Nothobranchius furzeri: one gene and its partner. The protein of the gene in region 1 interacts with the protein of each later gene in a pairwise test. Links are inferred from orthologs where the notes say so. Each region holds a gene or a part of one and is shown in the gene's direction. Other genes may lie near its edges.

Evidence for each region. The genes of interacting proteins can lie anywhere in the genome.
Region 2: the proteins of inpp5ka (region 1) and mad2l1bp interact in binary tests that used the Homo sapiens proteins (3 or more experiments, as listed by UniProt). The link is inferred for Nothobranchius furzeri from reciprocal best matches to the Homo sapiens genes INPP5K and MAD2L1BP.

What each region holds. Positions count from the first base shown.
Region 1 is NC_091753.1:62,183,346-62,194,410, reverse strand, and holds the start of inpp5ka (inositol polyphosphate 5-phosphatase Ka), read left to right. Parts: upstream 1-5,568; 5' UTR 5,569-5,792; coding exon 5,793-6,034; intron 6,035-6,599; coding exon 6,600-6,704; intron 6,705-6,781; coding exon 6,782-6,890; intron 6,891-6,964; coding exon 6,965-7,081; intron 7,082-7,422; coding exon 7,423-7,598; intron 7,599-9,061; coding exon 9,062-9,173; intron 9,174-9,272; coding exon 9,273-9,382; intron 9,383-9,470; coding exon 9,471-9,497; intron 9,498-11,065. Other genes in the region: phosphatidylinositol transfer protein alpha isoform, read left to right, coding at 237-281. UniProt on the Homo sapiens protein: Inositol 5-phosphatase which acts on inositol 1,4,5-trisphosphate, inositol 1,3,4,5-tetrakisphosphate, phosphatidylinositol 4,5-bisphosphate and phosphatidylinositol 3,4,5-trisphosphate.
Region 2 is NC_091752.1:315,118-325,901, reverse strand, and holds mad2l1bp (MAD2L1-binding protein), read left to right. Parts: upstream 1-5,618; 5' UTR 5,619-5,659; coding exon 5,660-6,026; intron 6,027-7,642; coding exon 7,643-7,911; intron 7,912-8,000; coding exon 8,001-8,534; 3' UTR 8,535-8,637; downstream 8,638-10,784. Other genes in the region: uncharacterized protein kif16bb, read right to left, coding at 461-629, 705-847, 924-1,039, 3,757-3,854, 4,448-4,564, 4,673-4,783, 4,850-4,913, 4,985-5,031; ephx5 (epoxide hydrolase 1), read right to left, coding at 9,055-9,256, 9,331-9,456, 9,528-9,636, 10,439-10,650. UniProt on the Homo sapiens protein: May function to silence the spindle checkpoint and allow mitosis to proceed through anaphase by binding MAD2L1 after it has become dissociated from the MAD2L1-CDC20 complex.

The sequences.
Region 1 (11,065 bases):
GTAGAGACCCACTGCTTTCTTGTGTGGACCCCCTTGGGGGTCGCAGACCCCAGGTTGGGAATCACTGTTGTAGGAGGTAAGCCACAGTAACACGATGGAGTTCCCAGTGACAGGGTTAACGCAGGAAACGAGGATGCTTCTGTATTTGTCATCACTCATCTTGGATATCAGAACTGACCGTGTGTGTGTGTGTGTGTGTTGTTTCCATGTCTTCTCACTGACGCGTTTGTTTATAGATGAGGAAAACTGATGAAGTTAAAGGCATGTCTGCTGATGAGTGAGAAGAAGTGATGTGGTGAGTGATCATTTATTCTTTACTTGCTTGAACAGAAACATTCGTAGTTAATCTATCGTCTTGTTTTCCTCGTTAGACCAGCCGGATGGGGGACGTGACTTCATCTGAGCTCGGCCTCCCCTCCTCGGACCAACTGGACCTGCAGCACTCTCCGAGGCATAATCAAGGATACCCTCTACATCTTAATAAAGATTTGCTCTTAATAAGAGCTTATTTCTGGAAAGCAACTGTGCATATTCATGTGCATTAAAATACAACCACAGCTGATTTTACTGTTTTTGTTTTTTAGGAATCTATTAGAAAGGTCTTCTTTTAAGATGAAATATTCTTGTTTATGCCTGCTCGTCTCCAAGCTGAAGGGGTTCTCTCTGAAGGATCATTTACGATTACTTTAGTTCCTTTTTAAAGGCACTTATCTGTTTTACTTTTATTCTTCTTGGTTTGTTTTCAGTCACTGTTCACTAACCAAAAAGGAAGGAATTACTTTTAACATATCTGTATACAATGGCAAAACTTGCATCTTTACAAAGTAAAAATAACCTTCAGTGTTTCATTTTTAACATTTTCAGTCTTACTGCAGTTATTCCTGTTCTGCCAGACGTAATATCATCCAGTGAAAATGTGTTCGATTTCCTCAAGACATGATGCCACATGCGTGTATTTCCGAAAGGTTATCCAGGTACGATGACCCACCTTTAGTCAGGAACTGGTTTAGACTTTATTTTTTAATGATTACATTCCTGTAGCTTATTTTTTTGGTAGAGGTTTTGAGTGTTTCAGGTTACTGTTATTTTAATTTGATTTTTCTGATGAGAAATGTCAGTAAAAAGATGCTGATGGCTGTTGGTATGTGTGTGGAATGTAGTCATCCACATATTAATGTGAGTGCACATTAAAGGAAAAGTATTTGGTCTTTTCTTGCATTTTTCCTGTCTTTTAATTTCCTGTGCTTTTTTTTATACCTTGCTGCTAGAACAATCCTGACCCCTACAGTAGTTCAAAAGATCCGCCTTTCAAAATAAAGCCCGCATGTTAATTGAATTTATACGCTTTTTTTCTTACGTTTGCGCCACTGACACTCATTTGTGACAATCTTGTAAAAAAAAAAACTACCTACTCAACGTCTGAGCACGTTTTTCTTGATGCAATGTATCTAAATTACGTCTAGCAAATAACGCTGATACCATTTTTTCTGTTGTGTGTTTATGGTCCACTGCTTTTAGCATAGATTATAGTTTTTTACGTTTCCATATACATTTTTTATGGTTTCATATACATATTTTTACGGTTTCATATACATTTTTTACGGTTTCATATACATTTTTTACGGTTTCATATACATTTTTACGGTTTCATATACATTTTTTACGGTTTCATATACATTTTTTACGGTTTTATATACATTTTTTACGGTTTTATATACATTTTTTACGGTTTCAACTACATTAACGTCTGAAATTTACGTCTGTGTATAAGTTTTTATTTTGAAAGCACAAAGATTGTCTTCCGGATCCGGGGCGGGAACAACGCAAGCTACTGTACTCCTGTAGCAGCGGCTGCAGTGCTACTGTACGTCTGCTTAAGTGAATAAAACTACTAAAGAAGTCCTACTAAAGCTCGCCAGGTAGTGTGTGATGAAGCTCCTCGCTAATGTTTAGCCTTTGTGGGTTTTTGGAGTTTAAAACAAGGAGAAGTTTGGTTTGGTTTGCTGCGCAATGCGCCGACTAGCACTGAGTCACCAGAGCTACGAGAATAGCAACTGGTAGTGGTTTAAGTATCTAGTTTACCGGAAACAGAGACTTACTGCGGGTAACTCGCCTATCGCATGTCTCTGTTTTGTAGCTGTTATCCCAGCAGGTGTGCAGGTGATGGGGAGAGTGAGGAGCAGTCAGACCCCCATCATCCGTCACAGCTGAGGATGGAGAAGGACCACAGCGAGAGGCAAGACTTCCGGTAGGATGCTCCCTCCGTGTCTAACACGGAATGAAGTACTCGAACCTTTATTTTACTGTTTTTGTGATTTAGGATCCAGGGACAGAGCTACAGGTAGAAATAAGGGTTTATAAGACCGACCAGCTATCGCCCAATTTCTCATTAATGTTGATCTCAAAATAATTTGTAAAGCCCTGGCAAAAAGATTAGAGAAGGCAACCCCTTCATAATACACCCTGACCAAACTGGTTTCATCAAGGGTAGACAGTCATCCACTAACTCACGATTACTTAACCCTTTAGGCGCTATAGTTTTTTCAGTAAAATATGAAATTTTTATATCACTGTCTGTGAAGGTTCTCAGTCATCCAGGTCATTGTAGTCTAAAGCTTGGTTTATGCTTGATGCGTTCACTTTCCGCTTGGTGATGCGGCTCGCGGATGGAACGCGCTTCACAACTCGCAGCGTTTATGGTTCGTGCGGCTCGTCTCTGCGGCGAGCCAATATTCTCCCAAACTGTAGGGGGCAGCATGGAGCTCTACGGCATGCATCCAACACTACACCATAGTAGAAGTAGAAATGACTGTTTACAACATGGCATTCCAGCATTTTTAACAGCGTCCTCGTCTTTTCCGACAGTGCGAGCTATTTCTCTCCAAGAATTATTAACAACATGTTGATCACGGTGATCTCTGAGAGCTGAATCATACAAATGTCTGTATTTACCAACCTCTGCCATACTAGTTCTTGCCAGTCCGCCATGTTTTTCCGCGTCCGTCCGTCCGCGTGGTTAGAAATTTTCCGAGGTGCGCGTTGCGGAAATCTTGGGCCGTGCGGAGACGCGGTGGAGGGGCGTGGTTGTTAAAATGACGCAACTTTTCCACGCGGAGCCGTGCGGACCTCGCGGACGCGTCAAGCATAAACCAACCTTAAGGAGCTTTGAAAGAAAAGCGTCTGGACTTCTTTGAGTTGCTTGAAGACGTTTCACCTCTCATCCGAGAGGCTTCTTCAGTTCTAAGGTCAAATGGTGGAGAGTCCCAGATTTAATCCCAGTGGGAGTTTCCCCCCGAAGAGGGAACAAAAGACCCCCTGATGATCTTCTACATAAACACATGAGCCCAGGTGTGAGGGTGGGTGTGGGTCCTATTCAGCCAGAGTTTCGGGTGAGCTCATTGTGAAGCCTGGCCCCACCCTATCATGTGAATTCCTGAGGTCAGATGGCCCAGGATATGCGTGGGCGTTGAGGCATCTGGGAAGGGATCTCAAAACTGGATTATAGATGGCAGACAGTTGGTGTCGTAAACCACCGCCTCTGTTCAAAGATGGTTGCTCACAGTGGACATAAATGGCTTCCTTTACTCCTCTTTCAAACCATCTGTCCTCTCTGTCCAAAATGTGAACGTTGGCATCCTCGAAAGAGTGACCTTTGTCCTTTAGATGCAAATGAACTGCCGAGTCCTGTCCCGTGGAGGTGGCTCTTCTATGTTGTGCCATGCGCTTGTGAAGTGGCTGTTTGGTTTCTCCGATGTAGAGGTCTGGGCATTCCTCGCTGCACTGTACAGCATACACCACATTGTTCAGTTTGTGTTTAGGAGTTTTGTCTTTCGGGTGAACCAGGTTCTGTCTGAGTGTGTTGCTGGGCCTGAAGTACACTGGTATGTTGTGTTTGGAGAAAACCCTCCTGAGTTTCTCTGATACACCGGCTACATAGGGGATGACCAGGTTGTTGCGTCTGTCTTTCTTATCCTCCCTCGCTGGTGTCTGGTCTTCTTTTCTGTGCATCTTTGCTGACTTTATAAACGCCCAATTAGGATAGCCACATGTTTTAAGTGATTCCTTTATATGTGTGTGTTCCTTCTTTTTCCCTTCCGGCTAGGGATGCACCGATGGATCGGCATTTGATCCCAATCGGCCGATAGCGCCCCTATCGGTTTTGAGTGGAGTTTTCAAAATAGATCAAAGCAGACCGATCAGGTAGGGTTGTCACGGTAACCGGTGTAGCGTTAAACCCCGGTAAAAAAAAAAGTTGACAATAATAATAACCGTCTTGTTTTTAAAGAACTATATTATCTTGGTGGGATTACTGTGGCTGCGGTGTAGGCGCGGTGACCCTTACCAGCCACCGTATCATCTGCTGAAGTTGCCGGCGGCACATGCGCGCTTTGTTGTTTACAACCAAAACTTTCTTGAAGCTAAAGCTGAAATAATGGCCAAAGGAGGAGACGGCAGCGCTCAGGACATTTGTTATCCCTCAAAGAAGACAAAGTGGGAAGTACGGGCATCTTTTGGATATGTGAAGAATGCCGAGGGACAGTTGATAGAAGACGGCTATCCTGTTTGCAGCACGTGCAGAAAAAGTGTCTGTGAAAGGCAGCAACGCTTCAAATCTCATGACACATCTGCGTGACCATCACCCACAACTCTACAGTCAACGCAAGGCAAGCTAACGTTAGCGTTTTAGCTAAAATGCGTGATCCGAGGATTTGGGTTGAGGGACAAGGGTTAACCCTAACCCTAACCCTAACCCTAAAATAAAAAGAAATAAGGGTTTATAATGGGTTCTTGTTGAGACCAAGACAGAACCTCAGGTTGTTTGTTTATTGAGCCGTTTGTGAATTATTTGTCAGTTTCTCTTTAAAGGACACAAACCACAGCTGCGCTTCACAAACTGTATCTCATTTTTGTCAGGATCTACAACCCTAGTGAGGATAACACAGTTTAGGTAGTGGATGGATGGACAACACTATTTCTTCTCAGCAACTTGAGAACAGTGGACCAGTCCGTCTCCTTTGCTGTATTCATCAGTAACCGAGTCACCAGCTCAGCAGTTTTTCTTCTTTGGATCACCTGAACGCATCAGAAGCTTTAACTCATCTGTCTGAGCCAAAGTAGTAGCAGATCTGTGTGTATTTAGATTTAGTTTACATATACATGTATTTCTGAACAGTCACCTGTTTGTCTGATCGTAAAACACGCTTTACATCGTCCGCATTTGTCAGAGGTTAGGGTTAGGGTTAAAGGTCCCTTCCTGTAAGCTCCTGAACAACCTGATTATCTGCCTGTGGAGCTGAATGTGCTGCTGGACTGAACACAGTGCTGCGTTTACCAGACTGCTGCATTCTAGCTGGTGGATTATGTTGCTTAACGGTGCAGCTCTGAATGGGATTTGCCCTAGAAGAACAAAGTCTTGCTGTTCAGGCTGAAGAAAGAGCAGTTATGAGCTCAGCAGCTCACCCGGGACAGAGAGTCCTTTACGTTCACACGAGGAAGGTATTTTCTCAACTTTTAACCGGCCTATTGTTGAGATGTTTCACAAGCAGATTAGAAGCTATTTTAGTACACGAGTCCAAGTTTCCCAGTTGCTCTGAAACTCTGCCTCCCGAACCCCAGAGCCTGGACTCTCGTCTCCTCATTCAGCCAGCTGGTTCCACACGGGAAAGGATTACCGCGCCTCAGCTTCTTGTTTTATTTGCGATCTCTAGCGCATTCATAAACTAATGGTCTCTTCAGGGCTGTGGTATTCAAGCAGGCAGCTGAACCCAGTGGAGGTGACACCCTGAGCTGGTATGGATGATGCCAGGTGGCTGTTGGGTTCTGTTGGACGCGTCCGCAGCAACACCCTTTCATCCGATGCCACACAGTCAACAGGAAGTAAACTGGCTCTGTGCCATCAGCTCAGCCAGCTCATGACCTGTGTGGACGATCTGGACCCCAAAACTGAGCTGCATGAGAAAATGGTCAGGACCCTGGACAGCGCCTTCCTGGTCTGCTCGAGACGAGCCAACAAGCCAAAGAAGGACCGACTCAGGTGGAGGATGCTGCAGCTTCTCACTCGCCTTTCTGCTGAATCTAGAATCGGTCTCCTTCTGGACAGTGTCTGTGTCCAGACTGGTCCTATCACACTGTGATCAAACCTCGTAATTGCCTTCTGGAGCCTTCCAGTGGACGTGACTCTTTAGTCTGTTGTTCATTAGTCTAACGGATGTGGGTTTGAGTCTGAGCTGCATGTTACAGCGTTGTCGCCCAGGAGGGATTTTCTTGTTATTGTTTTTTCTGAAGTGGAAGAGGCTTTGGTTCCAAAGCTAACGCAGCAACAAATGTGCTGCACATGGGTTGTAACCATGTGACTATGGCTGTGTAATATACATATGTGCACATATCATGGACGTTTATTATCCTGTCGTATGAAACAGAACAACCCTGCTGCAGTAACTCTTGTAGGTGCTCTTAACAACCAGAGAAATGAGGTGTTTACCTGAAAGCAGGTGGCGGTCAGGAAGGAAGACCAGCAGTATCTAGCTGGTATATTTTCAGTTGATTCATCTGAGCTTTTCCAGCTTAACCCCCCCCCCCCCCCCCCCCCTGTCTCACAGGCTTCACCTAGTGACGTGGAACGTGGCCACAGCTGATCCTCCAGAAGATGTGGCTGCTCTTCTTCACCTGAATTCACCCAAAAGAGCCGACCTCTACGTCATCGGGTACAGACGAGTTGTTTTTTATCTCCAGAAGTGTCTCCTGCATCAGCGACTGGCCTGACGGTCAGATGTGTGTTCAGTCTGCAGGAGGTCTACTCAGGACTGCTGAGGTTTGTGTCTGATATGATGTTCGATGACCCGTGGACTCACCGGTTGATGTCCACCTTAGCTCCGCTGAATTATGTAAAGGTACGGACACACACCATCTCACGATCAGTGTGTGTTTCTGTGTGTGTCGTCTCAGGTGTGCATCTGTGTTTCAGGTATCTTCTATCAGAATGCAGGGTTTGGTGCTGCTCTGCTTCTCTAAACTGGAGCATGTCCCCTTCATCAGAGACATCCAGACCACCTACACACGCACAGGCATCTTTGGCTACTGGGTGAGCAGAACACACACACACGAGAGGGAGAGAGAGAGATCAACCTTCTTTCTGCTCAAGGATTTTACCTTTCAAGGTCAACCTCAGGCGTCGTTTTCGAGCAGATTGCCCTCTGTCATTATTTATTAAATTAAAACCAAACCAATTAGTAAAAGCTGGTCCCTCTGAAGATCCGCGGCTGCTGATCAGACGTGCGGATTATGAGTTCCTCCCTCAGGCACAGAAGCAGGAGGTGTTTTAATCAAAAGCTGTGTGTGAGTTGGTCTGTATGCTAACAGGACGTAGCTTAGCCTAAGAGCTGACGACAGCATTGCAGAGTGTGTCTCTTGTTTGGTTTTCAGGGTAACAAAGGTGGCGTGTCTATCCGCCTGTCCCTTTATGGTCACATGGTCTGCTTCCTCAACTGCCACCTGACGGCTCACATGAACTATGCCACAGAAAGAGTGGATGAGTTTGAGTACATCATGGACTCGCAGACCTTTGACTGTAAGAAGGCGTCGAGAATATCTGATCACAGGTGAGAGCACGCACAAGACTCAGACTGTTCTGTATGGATGTTGGAGTAAAAGCTGGAACGTCCGCCCGTTCTGGTCAGTCGTTTGGAATGCCGTAGCTGTCCTGCTGCTCGATCTGAAGGACTCTGACATTCCCTGGCCAGCTGAGAGGGAAGAGCTGGAAGACTTACCTAACTGGAATAATGAAGTGAACGCTGTTTAGTAGGTTTAATTGGGATGTTTTGCTTCCTAAAGCACCTTGAGCCCCATGAGATGTCTAAGCTGCAGCTGTTCCACACCTGCTTAGACTCTATCAAAGCCTGGATGGTGGGAGCTTTCTTCAGCTGAATGAAGATAAGACTGAGATCCTCATGTGTGCCCCAGACAAGCTGGTTCCCAAAGTCAGAGACTCTCTTGGTCAGCTTGCTTCTCACACCAAACCTTCTGTCAGGAATCTTGGCGTGACCTTTGACCCAGCTCTCACCCTGGATTCTCATGTCAGTTCTCTTGTTGGCTCTTCCTTCTTCCATCTCAGGAACGTTGCTAAGCTGAGTCCCATTCTGTCCCGCTCTGAACTTGAGACAGTTCTCCACACCTTCATCTCCTCACGCTTAGACTACTGTAACTCTCTTTTCACGTGTCTGAGCAGAACCTCCCTGAACCGTCTACAGGTGGTTCAGAACGCCTGTGCTCGGCTTCTGACCAAGTCCTCCAAACACACCCACATCACCCCGCTTCTCCTCCAGCTTCACTGGCTGCCAGTCAACTTCAGGGTTCATTTCAAGATCCTGGTTCTGGTCTATAGGGCCTTACATGGACAAGCACCATCTTACATTGGTGATCTTCTCAGTCCCTACACCCCCAGCAGGTCCCTGAGGTCCAGTGATCAAAGCCTACTGGTTGTGCAGCACCAGGCTAAAGGTCAAAGGTGACAGATCATCTGCTGCTGTGGCCCCCAGACTCTGGACCTCTCTCCCCCTGAGCCTGAGATCAGTGGACTCAGTGGTCTCCTTTAAAAATCAGCTGAAGACTCACTTGTTCAAGCTGGCTTTGTTTTGACCTTCTTCACCTCTCTCTCTTTATTCTGCTCTCCCCACCTATTCCACCTTCCTCAGGATCCACTGATTTCCCTCTTTCCTGTTCACTCTCTCTCTTTCTTTACATTTTTAATCACAATTGTCTATTTTTGCTCATTTTAAATATATTTTAACCATTTTCTAAATTCTTTTTATATTTTTACATTTGTTGTTTTTGTGAAGCGCCTCGTGATTTTTATCTTGAGAGACGCCATAGACATGATATTTTCTTCTTCTTCTTGAGATGACTTGTGTTGTGAATTGGTGCTGAAGTTGAACTGAACTCCACCTGAGGCAGAAGCTCATTTCCATCCTTTTCCGTTTGGTTGTGCCCATCTCACATCTTTGTTCAGTTCGTTTAAAAGAAACTTTTTTTAATCCTTTCATCCTTCTCTCGTCTTTGTGTCCAGACTGGTGTTCTGGTTTGGAGATCTGAACTTCAGGATACAAGATCATGGCATGCACTTTGTCCGCTCCTGCATCAACAAGCAGACCTACAGCCTGCTGTGGAGCAATGACCAGGTTTGACCTCTGGAGTGTTTTTGTTAGTGGAGGAATGCTGGTGTCCTTCATCAACGCTGATTGATGAACATGAGAAAGTGTGCTTGATGACATTTTCAGTTGATCATGTTGAAGAAGAAAGAAGCGTTGCTGCAGGACTTTGAGGAAGGACCGCTGGACTTCCAGCCCACGTACAAGTTTGACTTGAACTCTGACACCTATGACAGCAGGTAAGAGTTGGAATCTTTTTGGGAATCCGAGTCTTTTAATTCTGTTTCTCTGAGTTTATTTATGTTTTCACCTGTTTTAACTCCACAGCCTCTACAGGACATGGTTTGACTTGTAGTAAGACCAGAAATACATTCATCTCCCTTAACATGAGCATCCAGATTTGTTTTACCTAACAAGACTTCAGCATGTGCATTTCCTCCTCCTCGGCTAACAGAAGTCTCTGATGGCGTTAGCGTGAAGCCTTAGTTCTGCTTCTGCTTCTAAAACAGGATTCTGGTAGCATGCTAAAAACTAAAAGGACAAGCAGGCAGGATTAACAGCCAGTCTTCAGCTTGGCTTTGCCCACGAAGACTAAAATGCTCGTCTACAGACTGGCAGCTAACGGGTGTCCTACAGCTGGTGAAGGTGTCCATTAGAGTCCGGGGACCCTACATAAAATATGGGTGTTCATATGTCCTATGTACTAAAGCTGCAATGGCAAATCAGCAAAACAAGCTAGCTTTTAAACGAGGTCACAGAACACTCACTCCTCCCATCGGCTATAAAACCCTTGGCTGTGTTCGCCTGAAATTAGAACCTGCATTTCCAGAGGAAACGAGGTGGCGCTAACACCAGTCGCCGTTTTCGATGCCCGCAGTTTCTCTGGTAGTTTGTCCTAAAGTTGAAGTGGTAGCAACCACTCGGCCGCTGTTATTGAGTGGAGAACCTCTCACACCGGTGGTGTTGCCAAATACATGAGTGTGTGATGAGTGGAGGACCAGGGGAGATGTGGTTCGGAGAGACCCACGACCAGACGGTCCAATCGTTGCTTTTTTGACAGAGCTGTGTTATTGGCTGACGGTTGTAGACAAATGCGAGGGAACCACTTCTCTCATTTTTTTGTGTTTTTTAAAGCTCCACAGTAAATGTATAGCTGTGCTATTTTAGAACATTGTTAAGAGACATGAACGCATGTTGCTGCTTCCTGAGTGTTTTTGTACAAATGTAATTGTACAACTCTGAGAACTTCCTTCAGCAAGTCCAACGGCATTAACAGGTTCTGGTTCTTGTATCAGGATTTTACCGGGGGCGTTTTTTAACTGCCACTAGGGGTCACTGTTTCATCATAATCTGAAATGACCATTTCCACATCTAGGTGTAGCACAACTGAACATCTGTTAGCAGCTGCTGCTCCTGTGATTTATACAACCTGACTTTGATCATATTAAACAGACAACATTAAAGGAAGTAGTAAGTAAATGTTATTTCTACAGCACTTATCACAGACAGAGAATCACAAAGTGCTTCACATAGATCAAAACAAAATAAAATCAAAATGCTCTAGAAACAGAATTAGATTAACATCAGAAAAAATAAAGACATAACATCATAAAATTTCATAAACAGATGAAAGATTAAAAATTTGAGCTAAAAATAAGAAAATAAAAGGTTTAGGTAAAAGCAGCTTTAAATAAAAGGGTCTTTAGCTGTTTTTTTAAAAGTGTCCAGACTGTCAACGCTGCGTACGGATAAAGGAAGATCGTTACAGAGTCGGGGCAAAACAGTCTGGAAGGAGCGACCACCTCGACTTTTATATCTGGTCTTTGGAACTTCTAGAAGGTTCTGGTGTGTGGACCTGAGGGCTCGGGTTGGAGCATAAGGCTTTAACAGTTCAGTAATGTAGGGAGGAGCTCGACCACGTA
Region 2 (10,784 bases), on another chromosome or scaffold:
ATCGGTATTGGTGCATCCCTACTAAATAACTAATGCATTTTTGTTTGCTTTTAGCACCCCCTAGAGTCCATTTAGGAGAAGCAAAAGTCTCATCTCCTCGTGCAGTAGTCATCGTAACTCCTTAATCTAACAGCTAAAATGTCTCCCCAGCCTTCATTAGTGTCTACAGGAGTGATTCAGCACTAAATTAAACAAATCAGCTGTGCTCGTGATCTAAAACATGCAAGTAACATGCTGGAAGCAGACTGCAGCGCTAGGTAGTCCAACACACCAAACCGGCCACTCTGAAGTTGCAAGTGGAATATTCTGGCAACAGGGGGTGGCCTTTCATGCACAGGTTTATTTTAGGACATACTGGCTCAAGAAAATGAAGTACGGCTTTAATCCCAATCCGTGAACAATAAGATATGATCAGCACTAGCCAACACCAATAGGTCACTGTGTGTGTAGCTGCTTTTACCAAGAGCTGAGATCACACTCCCCAAGGTGACCAGGGACTTGTTGATGTTGGCTCCTTCCTTCAGCCTGGGGCCTGCGGTGTGGGTGGCATCAGCTCTCTCACTGCCCGCCAAGTCCACCAGGTGGATTTTACTCCGCTTCTCACGTGGCAACTCTGCATCAAACCATGCCTGTGGTATGAGGAGGGATTATGCCACATGTTTAACAAACTAGTTCAAAGCAACAACACAAACTGCGTGTTTGACCTGGGTGAAGGTGATGGTGAAGATGGCGTGCGAGCGGCTGCTGAAGTCGTTCATGCCTGTGCTGGCTACAGTACGATTGGTGTTGCCAAGACTGATCAAAGCCTCCACGTCGCCATGGCTGTGCACCACGTGCTTCGACAGATCTACAAAAGTATCTTTGTCCTCAGACTTTCTACAACAACGTATTTAAGAATAAAAAGGATAAAAATAACACGTTACTTTCTACGTAGGGTCCTTCATAGGGGTGCTCCCTCACTTTCAACCCCCCTCCATCAGTGCTTGGTGATTTCTTCTTCAGAAGGTCGTGAACACGTTCGCTGTAGATCTCCAGATAGCTGGTGCGAAGACAAATAAATTTAAAAATAATAAAAAAGACTAATTCAAGGTTTTACACAAGGACACAATGGCACAAATCTGACTGAATGGCGGAGCATCAAATGGAAACAAGTTACTTTTTAAAGCCAAATTTGAAAGTTGGTTGTTCTGGCAACAAATAAACAATTACATGCATAATAGGCTTGGCAGCGAGGTTCAGTGAAAACCATTGTTGGTTTGTGCTGTGACTAAATCAGAGTCACAAATTCAGAAACAATGAAAGGAATCAAACAATTAGGCATTAGGACCGTGCAAGAATTAACGGCGTAAACAAAGAAATGCATCTGGTGGATGTAGCCATGCATGCATCATTATGGATGTTTCCAACACTGTTGAGAACTCAATCAGGATTAAAATAGGGTTTTTACTGACTTTTTGTGAATGTTAGGAAACAAAGATCAGGAAAATTAAATAAATAAACGTACATGCTTAAATTATACCACAAATAAAAATATAAGCCTGCAAATGTCTGGGAGAAGCAATAACGTTTGCATGGGTGTTCATTTGTTTTATTTTACCTCCCAAGTCCCGAATTTGTATTTGGTGTGCGTTAAGAAAAAACACTTGTAGGCATTACAGATTAGTCGACTCTCATAAACATGCAAAAACGTTTTTTTTATCTTAATTTTGACAAACTTCTGCAGCCGCGTAGAGCGGCCACCCATGCAAAATAAAATTGGAGTAATATCACATTTGCTTTATTGTTCCAATATTATAATAATCACATTTATACAATATAAATATTATATTGTTAGAACGCGATAGTACATTGTACTAATGTGAAAATTATAAAGCTATGTTAGAACGTGATATCGCTCCAATTTATTTTGTGTGGGTGGCCGCTCCAAGTTGCTGTAAACGTCTGGAAAAAAATTTAAGCTTTAAAATGTTTTTTCTTTAAGTCAATAAAGTTCCTCTAAAAATAAAAAAAGTTTAGTGAAGGACATCAACGTCCACATATGTGGAAACCGGGTCTTAGAGACCTAGTAAATATGTGTGTTGCTTTAAAAATTCCAGCTTTTAACCTAAGAGGTGATTTTTGCCGTAATAAATTAGTTTAAGGAACAACTTTAATTTGAATTTCCCCCTTTTTTTATAAAACTGAAGACAATTCAATGTTTGTATTAAACATCTTAAAATAGTTTAAATTTTATTAAAAGATGAAGCCAATATAGACAAAGTACCTTATTTAGCACTGAACTAAATTATCAAAGGCATCAAATTTGTCAAAAAATTTTATCTGAACAATTAGGAAAGCAGTAGTGGTAGTAGTGGTAGTAATGGGTCAGGCAGCCTTGCTTTTACACCGTTCAGTCTCAGCCAGCTTGGTGAAATGTTCCCGTCTACCTTTTATTTGAAGATTCAGGTCTTGCTTCAGAAATGACATCCTTGTCTTAGATTTACCTTTTCACAGCGTTCTGTAAATATTTCATGGGGCTGAAGTGTGGGGGAGATGACGGCATCATGAATTGGTTTTCTCTGTAGAAACAGGTGCTGTGTGCGGTAAGTGATGTGTTGTGCATGAACATTTTTTCTTCCTCGTCCAGAGGGCTGAACTCTTTACAGGTTAAATCTTCAGATTTTCTCAGAAGTTCACAGATCGTTTAGGGCAAACAGTCCAGATCAGCTCTGATTTAGCGTCATGTTAGAACAGGGTGGAGATTAAACAACCACATAGTTAAAGTTTCATTAAACAGCTAAAAAATGTGACTGCCCATGTGTCTGGGCCCAGCGCACAGGCTGCATGTAATCCTGGCCGGTAAACCTCTGAAGAGTTCTCCATGTATGGCAAACGTGCCTTCATCACGTCTGATTCTTCTGGCTACGATTAAATATGTCATTTTAGTAAATAAATACTGATTTGATGCCTCTTGTGAACATTGCACTATTCTGAGGGTTTTATCGTTTCTTTATGTACAAAACTAAATATGGGACATTAAATTTATCGTTTCACATCCGCCCACAAGTCGGAAAAGGGTAGAATTCCTTCTCCAGGCCAGGGATGAGGTCCTGCCTCAAGTGGAGGAGTTTAAGTATTTTAGAGTCTTGTTCACGAGTGAGGGAAAGATGGAGCGGGAGATCGATAGGCGGATTGGTGCGGCGTCTGCAGTGATGCGGGCGTTGTACCGATCTGCTGTGGTGGAGAGAGCCGAGCCGGAAGACTAAGCTCTTGATTTACCGGTCGAGCTACGTTCCCACTCTGAATGTGGTCACGAGCTTTGGGTAGTGACTGAAAGAACGAGATTGTGGATACGAGCGGTGAGAAGCTCAGTCATCCGGGAGGGGCTTGGAGTAGACCTGCTGCTCCTCCACAGAGAGGAGCCAGTTGAGGTGGCTGGGCCATCTGGTTAAGAGGCCTCCTGGTGAAGTTTTCCAGCCACATTCTACTGGGAGAAGACCCAAAGGAAGACTCGGACACGCTAGAGGAACTATGCCTCAGGTGGCCAGGGAACGTCTTGGGATTTCCCCAGAGGAGCTGATCCAAGTGGCTGGTGAGAGGGAGGTCCGGGCCTCCTGCTTAGGCCAATTCCTCCGGGACCCAACCATGAGTAAGCGGACGAAAATGGATGGACGGATCCTTCCATAAATGTGTTGAATATCCACTGAAACTGATCACCACAACAGGTTTGAAGAAGCAACGAATGCTGAACAGAAGGCAACGATAATACGGCCTTACCTGACCTCCGTGTGAAATGAGACAGTCTCAGTTTTGCTTCTGTTGGATAACTCCAAGAACAAGCCCTCACAGATCCGTGGAATTAAACCTTTATCCACCTAAAATTGAGAAGACATCTGCCTTTACACCCGCTGAAATAGACGAAGCTCGCACTGAAATGACAATTACATTTCGATCCTATTATACTTCAGTTAATCTGGTTGTCTACACCATGCCATAACCACGACTCAGCACACACACAGACCGCTGAACAACAGCAGCTCATCAGCTGTGGAGGTAGTGAAGCATAAAAGCAATCCCAGCCGGAGCAGTACGTCCTCTTGTTTTTAATTACAAAGTAACAGACAGTAAGCATTAAGTTATATAATTATCTCTGATGTTGACAGCAACTCTGCTGATGACCTTGCACAAGTCCCCCAAGCAGAAACCTCCTAGTGTAAAATCCCTAGTGCAGTGTGTGTGTGTGTGTGTGTTGCTGCACTCATCAAAAATTCTGACTAGTGAGGAAGAACAAGCTAGTCTAATGAGGCAGCATTCAGTTGGGGTCCAAAGTGGCAAGAGGTCATCACATGCAGAGTAAAGACGGAGGTATAATAGAAGAGGTATGCATACAGCACTGATTGTTGTGAAGTCGTAAATATTGCCGTTACGCTGCAGTGTTCAGCATGCATATTGCAAGTATTTTACTTACCTTATGTCCCATCATGGTGTAAGTTTTCCCTGAGCCCGTTTGGCCATATGCAAACAAGCAGACGTTGAAACCTTCAAAAGCTGCTTTTATTACATCAGATCCCAAGTCCTGGAAAATCTGAAACAGGTGTAAAATATCCATTTTACACATTTATAGAAATAAAATGCAAGAAGTGGTTCAACACTGGTGCAAATAAGAGTTAAACAGATGAAACACAGACAGCACCTTCTCCTGGGAAGCAAACGTGGAGCTTTTACTGTCAGTTGAGTCAAAAGAGAAGTCAAAAGAAAAGATTTTGCCTCTGTCCTTCAACTTGTCTCCACGTAAAGAAGAAGGCTGAAATAAAAAAAAAATCACTCAAATGAACTCAAGTAGAATTCATTCTGTGACGGTCTAGCCTACCTTATGAATGGATGCGGTGTTCTCCTTCATATGCACAATCACCTTTGATGACAACTGTTTTTCTCTGCAACAAGCCGTGCAAAAGTTTGTTTTCTGTTTTCCTGTTAAAATAATAAGTCACTCTGTTCTACTGACCTTTTGTTCAAAGGGCGCACTCTCACCGCGACCTGAACTGAAGACATTATTAATCAAACCAGACAGACGAAGAGCCAACGTCCCGTTGCTAGAGTTTTAAGCAAACCTTGTCCTTGTTTGTTACCACCTAATCTAATCATCACACCTGGAACTGATCCTCACGTTGTCGATGCAGTGCATAAACTGTCCACTAGAGGGTGTCTCAAGCACGTTCTCCGTTTAAATGTGCCTTGGGCAAGATCAGACAATACATCACTTCATAAATATTTACTTATAACAAAAACGTTTGGTTTCCAATTGACGAAACTGTCGTTTGGTAATATTACACGTGGTTGAATCTGTAGTGTGCAAAAAACAAATATCTGAAATGTCCTGCATTCACAATTCATAGGTTAAAAAGGCATTATAAGTCCTTGCAGCTGCTACCAGAAACAGAAGGGCTGTCAAATAACAACAAACGTTTTGTGTGAACCCAAAATATGATGATGATATAAATCGTTTCTTGAGAAGTAAAATAAATGAAACAAGAATAGTTAAATTATTGTAAGAACACCAGAGTGGCGTTGGGAAGCTTATTTTTTCCGATTTTGTGCTACGTAGCTTGAATGCGACATCTATTGGATTTCCCATGATGCAGTGCGAGAAAACACCGGCGCGGACTTTCAAAAATAAAACATGGCAGATAATTCTACTTGTTCAAAACCTACATCAGTCTCGGCGGCGGCCACAGAAACGGAGACCGCTGTTGACACCACGGGTGGCGGGATAAAGGGACGGCTCTCGTTTTCACCACAGAAGGATGTTAGCGTTGATGGAGAACCCGAAATAACGCCTTTAGGCGGCAGTGCGGAAAGTGTCTCCAACGTCTCCAGTTCATGGAGCCAGCCAGAGGGAAGAGCTGAACGACTCCCGTCTGATGCCAGCGACACATGTTCAGAGACGAAAAATGATGGTAAAATAAGAGAAGAGTGTCCAGAACAACGCAGAGGGAGTTCTACTGAAGCCAAAGAAAATGCTGCTGTTCCCACAACCACGTCTCAAGGCAGGTAGCATAGAGTTAGCTTACTTTCCTGCTTTTGATCCGTTTAGGCTAATGTGCAGCTATATTTGGTTTCATACCCAAACTGTTTCCTGATCAACTTAAAATAAGCTTGTGCCGGTCAGTTTGATCAGTAGGTAACGCCTGATGATGTCAGATGTCAACATAATATTTCAAATTATTGCTTGTGGACAAAACTAAATGCAACTGACCACATTAGATGTGCCCAATAACGCCAATAAAATATACATGTGATCACGGCTAGATGGATCGGGTAATTTCAGAACAAGAGAAACATAAAACAAGATGTTTAGAAAGATACAAGTTGTTAAAGTATGATTATTTCACTAAACCAGTTAGGGTTAGGGTTAAATATTAAAACTACAACATGAGAAGCACCAAGTAGAACCGTTGAATTTTCAGCACGGTTGTTGTAGTTAGATTATTTTTAAGGATCGTCTCATTTGAAATAAGATGTTTACCTCAAAAGTCCCTTAAGCTGTGTTTGCAATGTTCTTTCTCTTTAATTTGCATTACCTCAGCTTACGTGTCATCCATCAGTCTGCGTGGTTACACCTGACGCATTTATGTTCATTTAAGGCTCTTTTCATTATTGGTTACCTAAATGTTAAAAATAAAACTAGAGAAAAGAGTCAACATCAAGAATTAGTGGACCTAGTTTTCCTTTTATGTAAACTTTGGAATTATTTAAATGAAGAAATAAATAATGCATTTATTGTAAGATGTTGTTTTTGCTAAAATGTGGTTTTTAGATTCCTGGTTTACTTTTAAAGATGCCAAAAATTGTAAGGATATTTACCAACAGATGGTCAGTTTTCAAATCTAAAAAACTTTTTTGCACATTTTTTACTAAGAATTAAATATCAGATTTTTAATTGTGTCATGTGATGCAGTTCAACATTTTATTTAGGAAAAAATTGCCACGTGCATTGCAAACCACAATTGCAAAACTCAGTTAAATGTGACTTGTTAAATGTTAACATTTGCATATTCATCTTGACTTTTTAGTAGCAAAAACAAACATCTTGCACCATTTTTCCTTGAATCGCATTTGGAAACATTTGTGACTCAAAAGCCACAAAGAGGATTGAAAATTGCTCATGCAGATTCTTTTGAAATCTGTCACATTGATGTAACTCCTTTTTCATGGCTGACACAGCACTTCCTGTGGGGTTTAAAGGTGTCCCGCTGCATGACTCTGCTCCTCCTGACTGGAGTAAGTTAAAGGAAGGACACTCGTACACATTTCTGACACTGGTTGCAGAAAGAGTTCAGCATTTAAGATCAACTCCCTTAGTGGAGATGAGTCAGCACAATGTGGTGGTGTGTTGGGTCTTGTGATTGTGTGATTTAAAAGATTTGAGTCCTGCTGAAGCACAGGTCTCATAAATCTCAATAAGATGCGACTCTGTAAGTGATTTGATCTGATTAGAATCAAAAGTAATCTTCCTCCACAGCCTGATTTCACTCCTCATGTTAGTTTTTGAGACGAGTGAGCTCATCAGGTTTATCTGAATAATGGCTCTGATACATTTCATTAACGTTGACCGTGACGGGTCCATTACGCTCTGTAATAACTTTATTCTGGTTCTGGACAGATAATGCACAAGAGGACCCTTCTGAGCCGGATTTCGATCAGACTGCCAACAATCAGCAAGTTAACACAGAGGAAAATGATGCCGAGGTGGTGAGACGAGCACGGGAAGAAGGCTGTGTGGACGTGGCCTTCCCTGGAGCCGTAACTCAGAACAGCTGCTATCGTTTCGTCAGCGAAATCCTCAAATGCATTCTCTATCAGAGACAACAGCTACCCATGACATACGACCAGCTGGTCTATTCCCAGAAGAAGCTGCATACTACGGCACAGGTAATACATAAATGTAATGTCTCACTGTCAGGTGAATTTATTGTAGATTTGAGATTAACCAACAGTGCTTGGGACGTTCTGCTTCCCAGGATAAAGATGCAGTGAGTCGGAGGCTCGCACAGTCTGCCAATAAGGACCGGCGTAAATGCCATCAGACTCTCCAGGAGATGGAGGAGGTGCTGCAGCGACTGGAGGTGCTGTTTTCCTTGAGCAGGATCCCCCGTGTTTTACTGCTGATGGGCAGCTCGGTCATCCTCCCCAAGGAGATATACGAGATCAACATGGAGGCCCTGGTACTGGCCGATGGAAGTCAGCCTCTACGAGTGTCGTCATGCTTAAGGCAACTGTTCCGCACTCTTTTTGTCGCCGACCTTTTGTCCGACACCAAACCCGTTCGCTTAATGCCCACCACAGTGTTGGCGCTGGCCCACAGGGATTGTGGTGTGGACTGGTTCCGCCCTAAGATGCAGTTTAAAGTCCCAACGCGGGTAAAAAAGCAAGTGATTGCCCTGTCTACTGACCCCGGCGCCTGTAAGAAGCTAAAGGCAGACGGATCAGACTGGCAGGATTACGTGTGGTTCCAAGCACCAATGACCATTAAGGGCTTAGCAACCGACCCTTAAAGTTAAGCAGTGTGTTGTCTGATCTTGGATCACCGCTCCAGAAGTGTAATCTGGTCAAATTTATTGGGCGTTCAAATTAAGTATTAAACTTAGCTGTGCATGTGCGTTTTCTGTCTGTTTCAAGTCACGCAGATCTACATCAGACCGTCGTGGTGTCTTACCTTTTAAAGCTTCTGATGCAGAGCGAAAGCTTCCTAAAGAGGCATGACTGGTGGGCGATTGTGTTTATATTTCTAGAGAATTACTTTTCTGGTGTAGAAAAAGAGCAGCAACACAAACGTCAGTGCAATATACCTTTACTGAACAGAACTTGAACAATTACAAAGCTTTCCTCAGTCATAAGGGAACAGTGGTGAGCCGAGGTCTGGTTCATGTTTACATCTTTGCAATAATGTGGTAAATCAAGCGATAAGACTCGCGGCGTGGAAAGGAACAAAAAAGATGTGTATGTGGTGTACAGACTATCAGGTATAATAAAATACTAAAACACCTGCATGAAACCGGGAGTACGCTTAAGTCTTCAGAGCTTCTCTACTTTTTTAACAAACTGGAAAATGTCATCCGCAAGCAGCCGGGGCTCTTCGAAGGCGGCAAAGTGGCCACCTGCTGGCATGAACGTGTAGGAACAGATGTTTCGATACCTAATCTGTGCCCACGACTTGGGGCAGTGCATCAGCTCCTGAGGGAACGCGGCCAGACCGGTGGGCACAAATATTCCCGTCCTGAAGCAAAAGGTGGGATCGTTAGAGAAATTATAAAATGAGATTAAAATTGATGTGAGCATTTGGTCTCCTACTTTGCATCGATTCGGCTCTCTGGGTTGGTCTTAAAGTTCTCTTTGTAGAAGCGCATGGAGGAGACGATGGAGCCTGTGGTCCAGTAGATCATGACGTTTGTCAAAAGGTCATCCAGGCTGAACTTTCTGTACAAAAAAGACATTTCTAGTTCATAACAGAGGGCAGCAACTGACTAAAGCATGTCTATCTTTAGTACCTCTCCAGCCCACCATCAACCAGGTCTCTGTTCGTCTTTTTAGTCCAGGTGGAAAACTTCTCCAGAATGTAGGCTGCCAAGCCCACGGGGGAGTCGTTTAGCCCACAGCCTGCAAACACAGAAGGAAATCACTCGTAGGTCGGATATGAGGATGTTTTTCTTGCCAGTCAAGCAACAACTTTAAAAATAAACAATTCTAAAGGTCCAACATCCTCAGGTGTTTCCTCTAAGCTGAGCCTTTAGGACAAAGCAACACACATACTTGTTCCTGAGGAATCAGTTGTATGTTTTTGAACTGCTATTGGCTCCTTTTCTGCCATATTTCTAATATGGCGCCTACATAACTATATAACAAGTACGTATGATGGCTAACATAATGGGGAGTTTTTATGGTGACAGTTTTAGCTTCATTGCAGCAAACTATCACCAAGAATCTGGGAAAACTCCACATCCTCCTCCCAATCGCTCTTTTGTTTTGTCATGCCGGCTTTTAATGCGTGCTCGTAGCCGAGGTAAGTGACCGACGGCTCCGCCAGTCGACGGGACAGGCTGCGCTCAGACGAGCCTGTCACCTGAATCTTTCTCAGCAGAAGCAGACTAAACTGAACTGTAACCTGAATGGAAACTTCCACTCGACACACTAGCTAGCCCGGCCCTGGCTTCTTTTCCTGTCCGTGAGCTCCAAGCTGAAAGAGGAGTGTGCAGAGGGCAGTTTGATGGATCACGATCCCATCCTTTACAACGGGACAGTCACAGTGATTGGTTGAGGTTTTTCCAGGATTGTACGTTTCAGAAGCGATTAAAGTCAATATGTGAAGAGCAATTATGGCAAAAAAGCTCCACAAACATCTGCCCCACCTTTAAATTGTGAAAATAAGAAAAGTCGTCTTGAGCCCGTCTCACAGCCTCACCTGCAGTATCTGGCTTGGTGGCCTGAATGTGAAGGTAGCCACTCTCCCTCAGTACTTCCCAGACATTCTTCTCAAAGAAAGGGAACAGCCGGCGAACATCTTCCCGACTAAAGCCCACCAGGAAGGGCAGATAGGGGCCGATGATCAAAGACAGCAGCACTTTGAACCCCCGTGTTGACATGCACATGTTCAGGTGGAGACCTTTCACACAGCTGGAAAACAGAAGTATTGTGAAACAGCTGCTTTCTGGGTTCCTGACTCATAATTACTGCTGTAAATGTGATCTTGTGGCAGGACAATGTTATCAGCTCCGTTCTTCGGGAATCTGTGCTGTCATGACTTCGTA